Linked DNA regions of Caenorhabditis elegans. The protein of the gene in region 3 purifies or fractionates together with the protein of the main gene of each other region. This does not show direct contact. Each region holds a gene or a part of one and is shown on either strand. Other genes may lie near its edges. The genes, in order: C47B2.2, W07G4.2 and rsd-6.

What was found.
Region 1: the proteins of rsd-6 (region 3) and C47B2.2 fractionate together in Caenorhabditis elegans (co-fractionation; one large-scale study listed by BioGRID). This does not show direct contact.
Region 2: the proteins of rsd-6 (region 3) and W07G4.2 fractionate together in Caenorhabditis elegans (co-fractionation; one large-scale study listed by BioGRID). This does not show direct contact.

The regions. Positions count from the first base shown.
Region 1 is NC_003279.8:12,961,406-12,966,768, reverse strand, and holds C47B2.2 (Phosphoribosyltransferase domain-containing protein), read left to right. Parts: upstream 1-2,189; 5' UTR 2,190-2,198; coding exon 2,199-2,365; intron 2,366-2,952; coding exon 2,953-3,194; intron 3,195-3,720; coding exon 3,721-3,802; intron 3,803-4,113; coding exon 4,114-4,318; 3' UTR 4,319-4,727; downstream 4,728-5,363. Other genes in the region: tba-2 (Tubulin alpha-2 chain), read left to right, coding at 506-1,198, 1,249-1,769, 1,823-1,955; fbxa-140 (F-box domain-containing protein), read left to right, coding at 5,308-5,360.
Region 2 is NC_003283.11:13,033,995-13,038,780, reverse strand, and holds W07G4.2 (L-Fucosyltransferase), read left to right. Parts: upstream 1-2,214; coding exon 2,215-2,299; intron 2,300-2,343; coding exon 2,344-2,389; intron 2,390-2,637; coding exon 2,638-2,714; intron 2,715-2,756; coding exon 2,757-2,917; intron 2,918-2,961; coding exon 2,962-3,078; intron 3,079-3,118; coding exon 3,119-3,225; intron 3,226-3,270; coding exon 3,271-3,371; intron 3,372-3,423; coding exon 3,424-3,603; intron 3,604-3,647; coding exon 3,648-3,742; intron 3,743-3,787; coding exon 3,788-3,886; downstream 3,887-4,786. Other genes in the region: scyl-1 (Protein kinase domain-containing protein), read left to right, coding at 1-25; W07G4.7 (Secretory peptide), read left to right, coding at 4,077-4,203, 4,252-4,376, 4,428-4,514; W07G4.1 (FIP (Fungus-Induced Protein) Related), read right to left, coding at 4,617-4,786.
Region 3 is NC_003279.8:8,357,333-8,365,913, forward strand, and holds rsd-6 (Tudor domain-containing protein), read right to left. Parts: upstream 6,527-8,581; 5' UTR 6,510-6,526; coding exon 6,412-6,509; intron 5,993-6,411; coding exon 5,703-5,992; intron 5,621-5,702; coding exon 5,443-5,620; intron 5,031-5,442; coding exon 4,885-5,030; intron 4,653-4,884; coding exon 4,301-4,652; intron 4,256-4,300; coding exon 4,156-4,255; intron 3,845-4,155; coding exon 3,592-3,844; intron 2,890-3,591; coding exon 2,688-2,889; intron 2,418-2,687; coding exon 2,276-2,417; intron 2,226-2,275; coding exon 2,001-2,225; intron 1,476-2,000; coding exon 1,392-1,475; 3' UTR 922-1,391; downstream 1-921. Other genes in the region: tba-5 (Tubulin alpha chain), read left to right, coding at 246-496; tbcd-1 (Tubulin-specific chaperone D), read right to left, coding at 6,892-7,086, 7,144-7,431, 7,610-7,888, 7,939-8,079, 8,343-8,523, 8,571-8,581.

The DNA.
Region 1 (5,363 bases), 4.6 Mb from region 3:
TGTTCCGGCCCTTTCAAAAATGTTTGTTTTCACGTAAAATCGAATTTTGAAGACGTGAAGCTTCTTCAAGTTGAAATTCAACATTTTCAAATCATTTTGCGATTTCACAAGACGGTTTTCTGCTGCATCTTCCTTGATTAATCTCCGAAAGCACGTATGTTTCAAAATGACTCAAAGTAATCCCATTGGGAATTGCGAAATTCCCATTGTTATTCTCTGGGTCTCTTACAACGGGGTTTTGGCTCCCTTGCAGTCCACTCCTTTGCACTCATTTCAATCCGCTCTCCACTGGCGCCCCGCTATTTCGTCATCATTTTTTTGCAATCGATGACTTGTCCACCGCGGTGTCCGATGTTGGGCTATGTTGAGAGAGCGCGCGCGCTCGTGCGTTCTCGGCCCTATTTGGGCTCACTTTCGTCTCTGCTCTCACCGCAATCGTTTCGTTCTCATATAACAATTGTCTTTCTCTTTTAAAACTTTATAATTTTCTTTTTCAGAAAAGAAAATGCGTGAGGTCATCTCTATCCACGTCGGACAAGCCGGAGTCCAAATCGGAAACGCCTGCTGGGAGCTCTACTGCCTCGAGCACGGAATCCAGCCCGATGGAACCATGCCAACTCAATCAACGAACGAGGGAGAGTCGTTCACCACTTTCTTCTCAGACACCGGATCCGGCCGTTACGTTCCAAGATCCATCTTCGTCGATCTCGAGCCAACTGTCGTTGACGAGATTCGCACTGGAACCTACAAGAAGCTCTTCCATCCAGAGCAGATGATCACCGGAAAGGAAGACGCCGCTAACAACTACGCTCGTGGACACTACACCGTCGGAAAGGAGCTCATCGACACCGTCCTCGACAGGATCCGTCGTCTCGCTGATAACTGCAGTGGACTCCAAGGATTCTTCGTCTTCCACTCCTTCGGAGGAGGTACCGGATCCGGATTCACTTCGCTTCTTATGGAACGTCTTTCCGTCGACTACGGAAAGAAGTCCAAGCTCGAGTTCTCCATCTACCCAGCTCCACAGGTCTCAACCGCCGTCGTTGAGCCATACAACTCGATCCTCACCACCCATACCACCTTGGAGCACTCCGACTGCGCCTTCATGGTCGATAACGAGGCCATCTACGACATCTGCCGCAGAAACTTGGATGTTGAGCGACCAAGCTACACCAACCTCAACAGAATCATCTCCCAGGTTTGTTGAGCTCAATTTGATTGTTGTATTCTAATGTTCTCTTTTTACAGGTTGTCTCCTCAATCACTGCTTCCTTGAGATTCGATGGAGCCCTCAACGTTGATCTCAACGAGTTCCAGACCAACTTGGTGCCATACCCAAGAATTCACTTCCCATTGGCCGCCTACACTCCACTCATCTCTGCTGAGAAGGCCTACCACGAGGCTCTGTCCGTCAGCGACATCACCAATAGCTGCTTCGAGCCGGCTAACCAGATGGTCAAGTGTGATCCACGTCACGGAAAGTACATGGCTGTGTGCCTCTTGTACAGAGGAGACGTCGTTCCAAAGGACGTTAACACCGCCATCGCTGCAATCAAGACCAAGAGAACCATCCAATTCGTCGATTGGTGCCCAACCGGATTCAAGGTCGGAATCAACTACCAGCCACCAACTGTTGTGCCAGGAGGTGATCTTGCCAAGGTGCCACGCGCCGTCTGCATGCTCTCCAACACTACCGCCATCGCTGAGGCCTGGTCTCGTCTCGACTACAAGTTCGACTTGATGTACGCCAAGCGTGCCTTCGTCCACTGGTATGTTGCCCGTTAAACTATACTTTTCAAATATTCAATGTGTTTCTTTTCAGGTACGTCGGAGAAGGTATGGAGGAAGGAGAGTTCACCGAGGCTCGTGAGGACTTGGCTGCTCTCGAGAAGGACTACGAAGAGGTCGGAGCTGACTCCAACGAGGGAGGAGAAGAGGAGGGAGAGGAGTACTAGATGCTCCCACAATCAACTGCCTGGCGATTGACTTTTAATTTATTACTGCAGTTCGATCGTCATAAACAATGTATTATGAAGTATTTTATTTATATAATGTTTTTTGTTAAAAAGAGAAAGAATGAAAGTCGGAACACTTTACGTTTATACCGAGTTGAGTGCCGCAGAGCAAACATGTACAAGCCGACAGTATTTGAGCAGCAGACGCTTGTTCTGCTCATCGATCAGTATTAGATTACAGAAATGGCTGGGCATGTGAATGGAACATGTGCTCCAGTGATTCCAAAGGTTGGTGATGAGGAAGACGGTGTCGGGCAGTTGGTGGCAAATCTGAAAGAGAAGGGAACAAATTTTGTTCTTTTGAAGAAGACTCCACAGATACTTGAATTGCAGACAATTTTGAAAGATAGGTATGAAGTTTGACTGGGAATAGACTGAAGCCTCAAACATTTTATGGGTGAAAATTTAAAGAAAGGGGCTGAAAACTCATATTTCCAAGCTCTTTTTCCAGATTTTGCGGAAAAATTAACGATTTTCGGTATTTTTGCCGGAAAAACTTGTTGATTTTAAATAAACTCCTTTTTTGCCTTAAAAAGCGATTTTCTTGGAATTTAGATTTTAAAAATCCGTTAATTCACAAATTTTCGGGTCAGAAACGGCATTTTAAGCGATTTTGCCAGTAAATTAGGAGAAAAATAGAAAACGTTTTCATTTTTTGGCCTTTTTGCCGTGAAATTAACTGAAATTTTGATTAAAAAACGTTTTTTTTTGTTAGAAAACATGAATATATTTATTTATATAAATGAATTTTTCAAGGATTTTCTCGGATTTTGAGTCAAAATTCCGATATTTTCATAAATTTCCGGGTCCGAAACGGTATTTTTCGTGATTTCCTCGCAATTTTAGAAGTTTTCCTTGTAAAAATTGGTTGAGGCTCAGAGAATCTTGTAGTTTGTAGTTTGTAGCCCCATAGCCTCAACCATCTTCCAATTTCCAGATCAACAAATCACTCGGATTTCGTATTCAACGCGGATCGTCTGATGCGGCTTGTAATTGAAGAATGTCTCAATCATCTTCCATTCACTGAGCACACAGTTACCACACCAACAGGCTTCAAATATGAAGGAATTCAATTTAATCGTGGAAATTGTGGAGTATCGTTGTGTAGAAGTGGAGAGGCGATGGAAGTTTCATTGAGACAGTGTTGTCGGTGTATTCGAATTGGAAAAATTCTGATTGGTACGGGAAATTGAGGATATCGAGAGGAATTTGGGAAATTTCCTAGAAAAGGCGAAGAAAATTGAGAAATATAGAAGAAAATGGCGAAAAATCACCAAAATCATTGCGATTTTCATCAATTTCTCCCTGAAATTACCTGGAATCTCTTATAAATGCAGATTTCTGCTTGAAAAATGGAAAAATCTGGTGAATATCCAGTTTTTATAGATTTTCTCCTGAATACCCCTCAAAATCTGTGAAAAGTCTGACTTTTCCTTCAAAAATACCTCTAATTCGTAGAGAAACTCGTTTTTTCAGCCGAAAAATGTTTTTTTTTTTAAATCTGTAATAAATATGTACTGTTCTTATGGTAAAATTCCTGAAAAATATATTAAAAATATATATAATAGTAAAATTTGCGTTTTTACCCAGAAAAGTGGTAGAAATCGTGAGTTTTACTGAGTTTGTCGAAAACTGGCGATACTTTTTTAAAAGAAAAACCTCAAAACTCGCAAAATTTCCAATTTTCATCCACTTTTTGTTACAGGCGACGAACAAAAAGTGCTCTACGCCAGGCTTCTTCCGGATATCACGTCGCGTCGAGTTCTACTGCTCTACCCAACGATAGGGTACGCTCAGAGACTACAAACTACAAAAAATATCTGGCCGAAATAAATTTGATTGAAAAATCTGAGAAAAAAAACACAAAATTTAATGTCAAAAAATCGATTTTCCCGGCGAAAAATCGTAAAATTCAATAATTTGTTTGACGTAGAAACTTTAAAAATGTCGATCACTAAAACTTCCCCAGAAGGCGAAAAATTGTCTAAAAAATTGAGTTTTTTTTTGTGCAAAAAAAATCTTTTTTTGAAATTTTTTTAACTGAAGAAACATTTAAATTTAAAAAATCACATTTTTATCAAAATTTCCAATTTTTCAGATCTGGGACGACAGTTTGCAAGGCAATTGAAGTCCTAAAAGAGGCACGTGTCCCAGATGAGAATATCTACTTGGTTTCCCTATTCATCTCACCGACTGGACTCAAGAATATAACCAGAAAGTACCCGTATATCACTGTCGTCGCCTCCGATATCACATCTCTCTATCCAAATCATTTCTCAACCAGCTATTTTGGTGCTGTCTAGACTAGTTTTGTGTAGTTTGTAGCCTTTTGACACTACAAACTACATCGTTTCCGTTTCAAATGCAGTATTTTTATTCACTTTTCTCACTTGATCATCTCTTCATTTCTCGTTATTGGTTTGTAGTTTGTAGTTATTGTAGTCTTCTTTTTTACTTTTTCACTGTTGATTTCCCCTATTTTTTTTTGACAAAATGTTCATTGAATTTCCGCATAACTAAATTCTTTTGTGTTGTTTTCGGTTCATTAAACATTATTTTAAGATGCAATGACTACGGTAGTCATTTTCTGAGTACATGGTGTGCGTACAGGGCGCTATATTTTACGCGCAAAGTTGAGAGTGAGATTTTTCCTCATTTTTTGGATTTTCACTGCAAATTTAAGAAATTTTACGAAAATAAACGTTTTATTTCAAATTCTATTTGCTACTTTGCATGCAAATTGTTTTTTTTTCATTATATTCTGAAAATAAAATAAGTTAAAATTAGCCGTTTCAAAAAAAGTTTCCGAAACTACGGTAGTTCTCGGAGTACGCAACTTGCGTACCGGGCATCTCATTTGACGCACAGAATTCCTAGTTTATTGTTTTTGGATTTTCAAAATTTCAAACATAGTTTTTGCATTTTTCCTGTCGTTTTTGTGATTTTTATTTGTGAAAATTTATTAGACAGAAAAGAAATTTTCAGTTTTCACGAAATTTACTGGAAAATTTGTTATTTTACCGTTAGGTAACGTATTTTACAAAGATATTTCACTTTATCCGTATTTTCTTATTGTTTTCTTCACTTCAAACGATTGAAAACTGAATCAATCAAATAAATTTCCTATTTTTCAGGTAATTTGTCAAAATGACTGGCTCATCTCGTGGAATTGTCGAAATGACAAAGAAACTGGATCGATTAAATTGTTAGTGTTAAAATGAAATTTGCATCGGATTCAGTTTAAAATTTGCTTATTTTCAGATCGAAGAAAAGACCACTTACGCTTTTAAGCATGCCAGTTGATGTTATGGAGAAAGTTATGAAGAAAGTGGATCCATACGATTGGTA
Region 2 (4,786 bases), on a different chromosome or scaffold from region 3:
AATGGACGATTTTGCTGACTGGTAACAAGAAACTCGCTTCGTTTTGTAGTAGAGATCACCCTACTTGTATTTCACATTTTTGTAATTAAAACTGTTTTATTCGACCCCATTTGTATCAAATCCTAACAAGGGAAGTCTTTGAGGAGGTCCGTAGATTTGGGGTTCTCATGCTAAAATTCCTACAGAAGAGTGTTAGTTATGATCTCTCCAAAAAATTTAGCTGCCCCGGTCAAGTTTCAGCAAAGTTATGACGTTTTGAAATTTCAGTTAAAAACACCATTGAAATCCACTGTCTTACCATGCAATCCACGCAAATCTCAGCTTGCGTGACCACCGAAAATGTGACACCCACCACATTGAGTTGAAAAATGTCCTCGGTGGCCGAGTTGGGAGTGCGCGCGTCTGATAAGATTTAGGCTTTGGTTCGATTCCTTCTATTTTTGAAATATTTTTGTAAGTTGAATAAAGTTTTAAACAACCTATTCAAACATTTTTGCGCCTTTTTAAAGTGATTTTATTCTTATTCGGGAACCTAGAATCATTGTCCGCACTTTTTGGAAATTTTTATTTTTTTCATTTTTGCTCAAAATTTCTTGATCAACTCCAAGCAAAAAAATCAAAAAATTTCATTTTTCTAAACAATTATGAAATTGCTATGTTGTTGTTCAGAAATGTATGAAACGTACATTACACAAGTTTTAACTCTCTATTCGCAAGTAAACCGTCGAAATGATCTACATCTCACGAACTTTGTGCAAAATATTTAACCAACTTTGAAGTTGCATAACTTCGTTGAGATAAATTATTGTGAAAAATGATCAACTAACAAAATGTTTGTTGAATAACAGTGAACAAAGTTTTAGTTATAAACTTTTTGATACCTTCAGCCACCAAAAAGTTGTGACCGTTTTCCAAAACACAATGTTAATAGAAAAACTAGCCAAATGCCAACCTTGTTTTCTTCTTTGTAGCTGGAGGTATCAAAAAGTTTATAACTAAAACTTTGTTCACTGTTATTCAACAAACATTTTGTTAGTTGATCATTTTTCACAATAATTTATCTCAATGAAGTTATGCAACTTCAAAGTTGGTTAAATATTTTGCACAAAGTTCGTGAGATGTAGATCATTTCGACGGTTTACTTGCGAATAGAGAGTTAAAACTTGTGTAATGTACGTTTCATACATTTCTGAACAACAACATAGCAATTTCATAATTGTTTAGAAAAATGAAATTTTTTGATTTTTTTGCTTGGAGTTGATCAAGAAATTTTGAGCAAAAATGAAAAAAATAAAAATTTCCAAAAAGTGCGGACAATGATTCTAGGTTCCCGAATAAGAATAAAATCACTTTAAAAATGCGCAAAAATGTTTGAATGAGTTGTTTTACAACTTTATTCAACTTACAAAAATAGAAGGAATCGAACCAAAGCTTAAATCTTATCAGACGCGCGCACTCCCAACTCGGCCACCGAGGACATTTTTCAACTCAATGTTGTGGGTGTCACATTTTCGGTGGTCACGCAAGCTGAGATTTGCGTGGACTGCATGGTAAGACAGTGGATTTCAATGGTGTTTTTAACTGAATTTTCAAAACGTCATAACTTTGCTGAAACTTGACCGGGGCAGCTAAATTTTTTGGAGAGATCATAACTAACACTCTTCTGTAGGAATTTTAGCATGAGAACCCCAAATCTACGGACCCCCTCAAAGACTTCCCTTGTAAGTACATCAAACAATTTCCTGTGATTCTATCCATTAACGTATTCTATTCATGTTTTTCTTTCTTTTTCTCATTTCCTTCGCTTCCAAACAAAAATTGCTCGCATTTCATGTTCTTTCTTTTCAAAAAAATTATGATGGTTAAAATAAAACTTTAAAAAATGTACACTTGGTTTTACTATTGAATCGTCGGACCCATGCTGTGTTGCTGTGGTGCAAAAGGTAATTTTTGACACTAACAAAAGTTTAGGCAAGTAGGTAGGCATGAGATAGGCTCGTAGGCAAATATGGGAAGGTACGTAGGCAGACTTGAGGTATGTTTGAAAACAAAATTACACTTGATGTTCTTTTGGGACAAAAATGTGCAGCCCATACATGTTGGACTCATGCTGTGATTCGATGTATTGGAAAGGGATCACATCAATTACGAAACATCGAAACATGCATTTTGTAACTACTCCTGTTTCATCTCTTCTTCTTTCAGCTTTACTAAATGACCGAAATTCAACCACCAACACCCTCACTTCTTACGAAAATGTTCAAAACTCGGTTATTTGTAATTTTTCTGATATTAACTGGTAGGGTAATAGGAACATTCAAAAGTTCAAACTTCCAATTACAGTAATAATTCTATCTACAAATGTTTGCAATAGAACTACGTTACCAATGTAAGTCCAAACACCGATAATTATTTCAAGACACAATAAAAAAAGACATAAATATAGGTAGGCTTGAGGTAGGCACATAGACAGATAAGAGGTATGTAGAGGGGCAGGGAAGCGCTTGGTGCGTAGATAAAGTGGGAAGGTTTGAAGTAGGCATGAGGCGGAAGCGTACTACCGAATAGGTGTTTGTCTATTTAACCCAGAAATTTGGCCTTATTCTATAAAACTGTAGACATTTTCAAATGTTTCAGAACTTCAGAGTATTTCACCAATTCTAATAAAAACAAGAAATATCTTTCAAGCAGGCTCGCAGCAGGAATGAGATTAGGTATTTGAAAAAAATCATAAAATTTAAAGAAATAAGTTTCAGGAAATCACATTTTTGAAATGGCTGCTTTATTGGGAATGTCAAGGCAGCTACATCGTAAATCCTTGTTCTTTGTGGAAGATAAAACTTATTTGAATATGTTGAACAAAGTGAAAGAAGCTATTCCTGGATTGATAGATCAATTTGAAATTGTTTATGGAACGGTTTGTTTAAAAATAATATATAGTTGAATTTGAAAATTGTTAAGGTTCCACCACCAACACAATTCATCAACTTCAATTCACGATGTTGTGTCTACGTGGAACCAACGATTCTTGAAAATAATGAAGATCAGTATTTACATTTAGCTGGATACTATTATCAGGTTCTAATGACATTATTGCTATTATAAATCTAAAATTTAGTCTTGGAAGTATTTCCCTTCAATGCAACATGAACTAATCAAATATTTGAAGCCAAATGTAAAAAGTGAATTCGGAAAGTTGCCAAGATCAAAAAATAACTCCTACATGTTAGTTTCCGCTCAACTTTTTATCGTAGATTAAACACTTATTAGAATTTGTGCACACACACGAAGAGGAGACTTTGTATGGGGTGATTTTGCTGCATCGGATCCGACTTTTGTCAGACGGGCGGTTGAGTTTATTGAAAAGAAAAGTATATAATTTTTGAAAAAAATCATTTAAAAAACAACTGAAACATTTTTTAGAAGCCCTAGAAAATTTAAAATCTCGCATTGTCTTATTTGGAGATGATTTCAAGTTTATGAAATCCATTTTCAAATATTCGATTCTCCAAGGTTCAAACACAAGACACTTCATATCTCATAACTCTCCATCCGATGATTTGATTTATTCAAGAGATCACTGTGATACGGTTTTAATAAGTGGTATGAATTAAATATCAAATTGAAATTGTATACATATGATTCAGCTCCTCACTCAACATTTGGCTGGTGGATGGGATATTTCTCTAAAGGAAATGAGGTTTTCTATATGGATATAAGAGAAACCAATGATTTCAGTTTTGTCAGTAAATAGCCGTACATGAAACTATAACATGTAAAATTTCAGAGAATTGGAGAGCTGAGCCCATATGATTATTTTATGCCGAATTGGACACCACTAAAGTTTTCTTGTGATAATTTAACGATTGTTGAAAGTGTCAGATAGTTTTGAAAAGTTTTTTCTATCCGAAAGTTTAGCTTTACAAATCCCAGAACTTCACCGCATTTTCCACTTCAATGAATCGTTTACAATATGAAGCTTGACAGTTGTTATGACCATTAGAGTAGACTAAATTGACCTAATTTCTACTAACTTGTAATATAAAAAGGAAAACAGCTAGAAAGTATTCATAAAAATGAAATTCGTTCTACTTTTGGTATCACTTTTTGGAATTGCAAAATGTCGATTAATGTGTGGAATTGATCCAATTCTAACAAATTGGATGGAGATTTCGATCAAATTGGACTGTCCCGCCATTTTAGGTAAGTGATCAGCAAGAGTGAACCCTTGTAAGTGAGCAATATTTTCAGAACAACATCGAACTTGTTGCCTCGCCCATGGTTGGTGTTATGTATATAAAAAGGCAACAATGGAAGCATGTAATAATGAATATTGTCGTTGTGTTAGTGTTCTCGCAAATGAAGGTGTTTGTAAGGTACTATCAACTGAACTATCTTCAACTTTAAAACTAAGTTAATGTTTTCAGACTCATTCTGATAACTTCTGTATGAATGTGAGAAACATGGGACCAATGCTCTGGCCGACAATCAATGAAAATGGAATGGCTTTTTGAGTTTTTCTTGATAATGTTGGAAGTTATAACAATTCAATGTAATAAAATAATTTATTTGAAAATTGTATTAGTTTTGCAATAATAATAATTAGCCGATGTCATCTAAACTCGATTCCATCCTCCATTGTTTCCCCAGTGATTTTGCTGATAGTTGAATCCACTTTGCTGTCCGCTAATTTCTCCGTGATTCACATTATAACCACTGTGAAATCCTTCTTGATATCCTCCATGATATCCATTGTTATATCCGTGATGATCTCCGTGATAAACAT
Region 3 (8,581 bases):
GTTCTCACCAGAAACTGATAAAGTTAGCCGAATTAGCCGAATTTTAGCCGACCGGCTAACTCGGCTAATATTAGCCGAATTAGCCGTTAGCCGAAAAAAAACAGTTACTTTCGAAAATTTTGAATTTATTTAAATACATTAAGTGCAATTTCGCTTGTTCTAACGACCAAGATGTTAAAATACAAAATTCTGATTCTCGTAATTTCTCATAGACGATCCAATAATTCGAATTTTTTAATTTTCAGGTGGTGATATGGCAAAGCTTCAACGTGCCGTGTGCATGTTGTCAAATACAACAGCAATACAAGAAGCATGGGCTCGTCTTGATCATAAATTTGATTTAATGTACGCAAAAAGAGCATTTGTTCATTGGTATGTTGGAGAAGGAATGGAAGAAGGTGAATTCTCTGAAGCAAGAGAAGATATGGCTGCATTGGAAAAAGATTATGAAGAAGTTGGAGTTGATTCATTCGATCCAAATGATGAAGAATATTAGGATATTCAAACATTTTAAGACAGACAATTTTATTCATTATATTTTTCGCAATTTTCTGAGAAACCTTCTTAAAGGCACAAGGGTTCATTTGGATGGATCTCGCCGCGAAACAAGAGTTTATAGTTGTATTTTTCGATCTTTTCGGGGCCGTTTTTCAAAAAACAAAAACGTTGGACATGAGATATTTATAGAAACGTACTACAGGAAAATGAATAAACGGGAACTGAACGTTTTTTAGTCGGACTTTCCTAACTTTTCTCGTGGCCAGACCTTTCCGAATATATCCGTGCGCCTCTAAATACGCGTTTCAGAAAACTGCGAAATTATGAACTTTACATTTTTGTCTAGATTTACCGATTTAACCTGATCTCAGAACCTCTATATTTCTTACTTATGTTATCTCATGTATATTGTTTGATGTGAATAAATACTCAAAAAGTTTATACTTCCAAGAATTGAAGAAAAAACGGTCAGAACAATGGGCTCAGCATTTGTGTGAGAAGGGGGTTAAGAAAAGGAATAACGGTATGGAGTTTCGAAATGTCCTTTGAGAGTGAAAGGGTGAACAGAAAGCAAGTTGAGCGATGGGCAGAAACGTTGCAGCTTTTAGACGGAATTTCTGAAATTCGGATATACATTCCAAACTACTATAAGGAAAAGTATGGGATCAAAACAAATAGAAAAACGTTAGTTGGGAAAAAATGGGGGAATTCTGCATTTTTGACAGGAATCATAGATGATCGTACATAACACCACAACAGTAGAAAACGGGCATAAAACAAAAAAAATCTCGAAGTCTTGAAACATCGTTTCGGCAAAAAAGTAAAGAAATTTGTGAAATGAGTGTTTCGGTCCGTTTCTACGACAACATTTAGATAGAAACATGATTTGAAGTTCAGATAAAGACGTCTTTGATATTCGTCAAGGGTCCACCGTGGCATGTAGAGAATAACTTTATTGGATATGTGAGGATCCCGTCCTGAAATTTTAAAAATTTATTTTTTCCATTCTTTGAAAGTTTCAAACGTGGAGTATACAGTCTAGTGGGGATTGCTTTAATTGATGGAAAATGTACTGTAATGACAAAATATAATTGTGTAAAAAATTATAATCTTTAGTGCTCTAATTTTGAGATTTTTGCGTTTTCTAGATAGATTCATCGGGGATTCTAGACATTTTCTCCGATATTTAATTTGTAACACCGTTTTTCAAATTTACAGGAAAAAACTATCGATTAAGCCTATTTTTGAATTAGTCAGAAAACGCAAAAAAGCCAAAATTAGGTTTTTTTTTATTTATTTGCGCCGGAGTTGAACAATAATTGGCACATTCTTCCATTTTAGCAAAATTGAAAAAAAATTGTTTTTTAATGGAGTACTTCCAAAAAATTAAAGTTGTTTTTCTTTCATTTAAAGCTAAATCCCAACGTCTCAATTAAATTTTGGCAACTTAACGGAAATTTTATTAAAAATAATGGTACACCTAAATGATTAAAAACCCTTACAGAGGCTGTTGCGGCTCCGCTGCAAGTAACACTGAGATTTCCAGGACCATTGGATAAATATTCCTTTCCACCAAATTCAATATTATCCTTGTCATCCTCTGATTCATCGAGAGTGCAAGGAATTGCAAATGGTGGTAGTTTTGCAAACTTTTGCGGCATTAATCTCAAATCGGAACTTGGTACAACTTTTCGGAATCCACTGTCCAGAATGAACAGAAAAATGAGCTGAAAGTAAACGGATGAGAAAATCGAAACCTATACAATCTATTTATTACCTGCGTCTCTATTTTTATGATCATGGCACGACTCCATTTGAGAATAGTTGTTGAATCATTCAATTGTACTAAACACGCATGATTTGGTCTCCACATTTCAAATGGCACGCTCTTTTCATTTCGAATTTGAGACATGAAGTCTCTGAAATTAAAAATATTGAATTCTGATTAAAAGTAGAGATGTTCCAAGAGTGGATTTTCGTAGATTTTCGATGATTTTAAATACATATATGAGCCCATTCCTGAACATCATCAAAAGTCTGAGAATGTCCAGTTTTGGAGCGACTCGGAATAACTTGAAAGTAGCGAAATCAATTAATTTTAATATTTTCGATCGAAATTTCAGGGAGTCACAGTTGAGCAACGTTTTAATCAGAAAATAATGTACTTGAAGAGTAAGAGTAAAACTCACTGAATCTCTTGATTCATCTTTTCATATGGTTTTATATACTCCTCAGGACGGACTGCAAACTTTTGAACATTTTGATATCGAACAATTCCACACTTGACAAGTGCATTTGCCGGTACATTTTCAAAGATTTTATGTTCAAAAGAAGTTTGATAGAATTCAGGTGCATCGCCGACAGTTGTGATTTTTGAAATCTTGAGCACTTCTGAAAATTAATTTCTTTAGATATTTGCATATACGGGAACACTGAATTCTGAAAATGCGTATCGCGCAAAATATCTCGTAGCGTAAACTACAGTAATCCTTCAGGTGATTACTGAAGCGCTGGTCCGATTTTGTATTGTTTTTATCATTTATTGATGAAACATTTTAAAACAGCCTCCAGTTGACAAAAAACTACAAACATTACAGGAGAATAAAATTTCGCTGTCACAATTCGAAAAGATACCGTATTTTCTCTATTAGTCTTGAACCCCAGTTTTATCCTGGCCAGCTATACTATGAGGAAACTTCAAAAATTTTTTATTTTTAGATAAATTGAACTTGAAAGTGATTAAATAACTTATGAAATATTGAAAAGGAATGCTTATTCATGGCTTAAACGGTATAAAGTTAAGTTTTCAGCAAAACTTGGTAACTTTTCCAAAGTTATTGGGCTTTCGAAAATTAGTCTTGCAGCCTCTAATAGTCCTGCACCCCTACGGGTTGATTGAAAATTAGTCTTGCATGCAAGACTAATAGAGGAAATACGGTATTCACTTTCGAACATGTAAATCGACATCCGTGCTACAGTAGTAATTTTTAATAATTACTGTAGTTTTCGCTACGAGATATTTTGCGCGTCAGATACACTGTGCAATACGCATTCGCAGAATTTAATGTTTTCGTAATAATAAAATTGAATTACCAGTCTTACTCCCCGACGCATAACGATATTCTCCTTCGAATGTGATGAATAATACATATGTCAGTTTTTCACAAGTACGTTCCATTCTGACTCCAGTAGCATTCGACAATCTTTCAGCTTCATCAGTGACTCTAAATCGAGCCTTATCCAACATTTTGACGTAATCAACAACATAATAATGAAGGTCATCTTCCATATATTCATGAATTGGTGAATCTGTGGTAACTGCTGCCTCGTTCCAAGTCAGGTCGCCCTGAAATATATTTATATTGGAAAATCATATTAATTTCCAAAAGTTTCCAGAGTTTTCATTAATAGTAACGCTTAATGTAAATCTTTTAAAAAATGTTGAGCTATTTCTCGGAAAATCTTATTTTTGTCGAATTTTTGGAAAAACGTAAAATTTATAAACAGACGCCCTAAGCCCTATACAAAAAGCCCTACACATTTTATTATTTTCGTACGAAAAAAATTTTTTTAAGCAATTTTTCCACTTTACGCTAATTTTCGTTCGGATCTTAATCAAGTTTTTTAGAATTTCATGCTAGCCGTTGAAAAACTTACGGTTTCAGTGTCAATAGTCAAAGCGGAAAGCAATTTAGGCATTATTTTCTTGAGATCCTTCAAGAAGTCTTCCTTCTCCTTACCGTTCTTTCCAGGTATTCTACAAGAAATTTATTATTATCTGTTGATTTCAAAAAAATCTTACAAAATTTTGTTCTTCCTTTCTATTTCGTCGAATAAATTTTCCAGTGACAATTTTTCGCCTTCGTTTAGTTTTTTCATGATCTTCCGAACGGCCTTTGCAATCTTCTTTGATAAAACATCACTAGAGGCTACTGATTCCAATGGTTGTGGTTGTACATTGATAGACGACGAATTGAATCTCCGAGCAAGATCAGCAAGATCAGGTGATGAAGCATCTGGACGAGAACGTCGTTCTGTATTTGATTCTGCATTTGTGTCACTGGAGAATTGTGAGTAATCGGAAATATTCGATCCACGAGAAGACGGTCTTCCTGGTTGCTCATTGCGGCGTGGCGAAGAGTAACGAGTCGAATCTGGAAAATTAAAATAAAAAGTGTGCGCCTTTAAATAGTATCGTAATTTTAGACTTCCATTTCTGCGGATTTTTCAATTTTTCATAAATTTTTTGACATGAACAAAATGTTTGAAGACTTTTATGATTTTCAGTAAAATACACTTTTAAAAATATTTTAAGAAGATATGAAAACATTATAAATAAAACTGAAATCATTTTTCGGTTAACAATTTAATAAATAAATATCCAACCTCTATCACCATTATATCCATCACGAGAGTCTGGACGTCCTCTTATGTCTCCATAATTGTTTCCGCGTCGTGGAGAAGGGTCTCTATATGGTGTCCTCATGATCATCTTCTCATGATGATCTTCTCGTCGAGGTGGTTGGTTTGAGCTGATAAATTGTGAAATTTATCGAATAAGAAGAGTTTTGAAACGCTCAGTCAATTTTCAGAAGAACGGACACTACGTGAATTTTTTAGATAATTTTTGAACACCTCTGAAGGGGTACAGATTTAATTTATATATATTTTTATTTTTTTGAAATATATATCCTTATTAAGGGGTCAGTTCGCCAGTTTTCAAGAATTTTTCGTTTTTTTCAAGAATTTTTTTGCCAAAAACGCGAAAAATACGGAAATCCGTTTGGAAAAATTAATTTCTCTGCGTTAGGAAAAAATACAAAAAGGTAGAAAACGCCTGGAAAATAACAGATTTTCAAAATAAAATTCTGAAGAAAACAGCACCGCGGCTTTGCAAAATTCTCTGATCGCTAGTTCTGGAGCCGCCACAGTAAAAAAGCTTACAATCTGCTATTCGAGCCGTTGTTCGACGCCAGCACGTTTCTGGAAACAGGATAATGAAGGCCTGTCATTTTCGAATAATCATTTGATGGATTAGGTTGTGAAATATTCAGATTTGGACGGAATGATGATCCATGATTGCCTGCTGGTGGACGATGATGACCACGGTGAGCCGGTGCACCTAAAAAAGTTCATTATTTCAAATAGATTAAGAATAATTATTCCGAAAATAATTGCAAAAAACCGTTAAGGATAATGCTAACTTTGTCTAAATCCATGCGTTTGATTGTGATTTCTTGGAATTCCACCACTACGTGCTCGATTGAAACTTGGAAGATTTGATCCACCTCTCGCCGAACGTTTTCCACCTTTTCCCGATTTCTTATCACTAATCGATTCGGCTAACTGTTGGAAAGCATGATTGTTTTGATTAAGTCTCCAATTTCTATTTCCACAATTTATGAACTTATCGGGATGACGTAAGAGCAAATCACTGAGACTCAATCTCAATCCTTGCAGTTCTTCGTTTGTTTGACCTTTTCCTTCGATTTGGCTGAAAATTCCAAATTTCCTTTCTGCAGAAAAGATTCAATAACTTTGGTATTATCCAGATGCGGAAATTTTGTGATTTTCGTCTTAAAAATACGGACCGAGGTCTCGACACGATTGCTTTTCATTATGCAAAAGAGCAGTATTGACGTTATCAACAGGGATATCCTGTTTTGTTCTTTCTGACAGAAAAACAAAAATAAAATTGGCCCAAGTTCAGAAGCGATAAATTTTTAAAAAATTATTTTTTGTTCCAAAGTTTTGAATCCAAAAAAACTTTTATTTGAGTGACAGCCGCACACTCTTTTGTAATTAGAAAATATTTGAATAAAATCGATCGCGTCGGGACAGGTAATCGTATTTTTAGAGCACATTTTTCAAAATATTTTGCATCGGAATAATTTAAAAAAAATAAAATCATACTCGACAAGAGGGCAGATTTCGCTCTCATGTACCATCTTTCCCATGGCCTTAGCCATGAGACCTCCAAAAACAGAATCCGCCAGCTCTTTTTCATTCATGTCGAGTTAGAAACCTGCTGAAAAAGTGTCCTTTGGAAACATTAATGAAAAAAAAATATATAATGAATCTGTTGCAAACAGTTCTTAGACAAACAAAAAATTATGAATTAAACAAGCAATATATATATTTCATTGGGTTTGAACACAAAATGAGATCAATAGATAATAAGAGCCAAAATGCCGCATAAATAACACGCAATGAATGATTTTTGTGTCTGTCCTGTCAGTTGTAAATTGGCGAAGACGAAACGCGAATCACTGTGAAGTATCAAATTCTGAGTGGTAAAATATCAAAAATTTGAATAAAATTAAAAAGTAAAAAGATAAACTAGACGAAGCGATAAAATTGAAAAATATGTCAACAAGCGTTATAGGATCACAATTAAAATATCAATTTTTCTGAAATTCCAGCGACTGCCTGTTTCAGTACATTATCATTTTCATCCTGCCAATTTGTTGTAGCAAGAACCTCTAATACTTCATCATCTGATTCCTCGGCACAGCAAAGATGCTCGTAGAGTCTCTCGGCGGCAGATTTACGAAGAACTGGTTGTTGGCTGTTAAGAGTGTCAAGGATCTGAAAAAAGAAATTATGGGTTATAGTTCGACAAAAACCTCGACTTCTGTCACATACCATAGTTAATGCAGATCTGTATACTGTACTTTTCTTCCCACAATTCAACAATTCTCCAAGTGAATCAATCGATAGCCTCTGACGTGACATCATTGATGATCTAACTGCGATTGTTTTCATTGTATCCACCATCTCAATAATTGATTCAGACGTTTCTGGACATTGTTCATAAATTCCAAGATTTCCAAATATTTGTGGTAGAATTTGCATGAAACTGTTCCCAATTCGGTTCACTTTACGAGCTCGTTGAAAAAGATCAGCACATGTCGATAGAAAATGATCGAATCTCTGAATTAATACGAATAGAGTTAACTAAATTATCATTAAAAATTGTTTAGACAAAATTTGAGATAACTCAGAAAAAACTCTGCCAATGTGAATAAAAACAAACGAGTTTCTAAAATCACATAAAATTTTGTTGCATCTTTGAAATGTTAGAGATTTATTTATTTTCACAAAAACTCACCGGTTTATTCTCACAAATTTCTCTTTGATGATCTAAAAGCAATTGCTTTGCAGTTTTCTGAGTTCCTTCTGCCAATCCACCTGCTGATACAACAATACCCAATATTAATTGTTCATAATACTCGGATCCAAGATCTAAAAGAGGTTTCAACTGAAAAACAGTTCGATCGGATATAAAATCCATTGGCTCTGAATAAATGTTCATGAGAAGATCAATATGTGGAAGACAGCGACCCGTTATTTCGCATTTGACGAGCGATTTCAGGCAGGCACAGGCACACTGAAAATGAGCAAATTTTGTGGATATTCTAAACTTTAAGGCAGCCGTACCTCTCTAGTTCGTGAAATTCGTTCTGCACTCTGTTGAACCATATATTTTGCAGATTTGATGACATGTTCATCTAGGAATGGTGGCTCCGTTTTCGCATCAACCAAAATTGTTGACATGGCACGCATACTGGCTTCCCGAACCTGAAATAGGCACAAAATTAGAATGTAGCGCAGAATGGTGGAAGCGATAATTTTGTACTACTTTAAAAGATAGCTCTATATAGCTCGAAAATATGCGTTTATAATTGTTTTTGAAAAATTCTCAAACTTTATATAACAGTACAAAAAAATCAGGAGGAAATTCCAGGACTGAACGCTCAAAATACTTTTAATCTCGCTAATGTACTTTTATAATTATAACATTAACGAATAAGATAAGAGTTTTTCCTTCTTTTCAAACTCACAAATCGTCCAATATCTCCATTTGCACTTGTTGTATAATCTGTCATAGCCTTGTACAATGTCTCAAAACATTTTTGCCCAATTCGATTAAATGTTTCAGTTGATGAATTCACTGAAATCCGATTAAGTGCAAATACAGTTTGTTGTCTAGCAAGTGCCCACTTTGCATCTGACGATGTTGGTCTGCAATTTGTTTCTGAAATTAAAAGTTTCTGTTTGCTACAACATACGTCAGAATAGT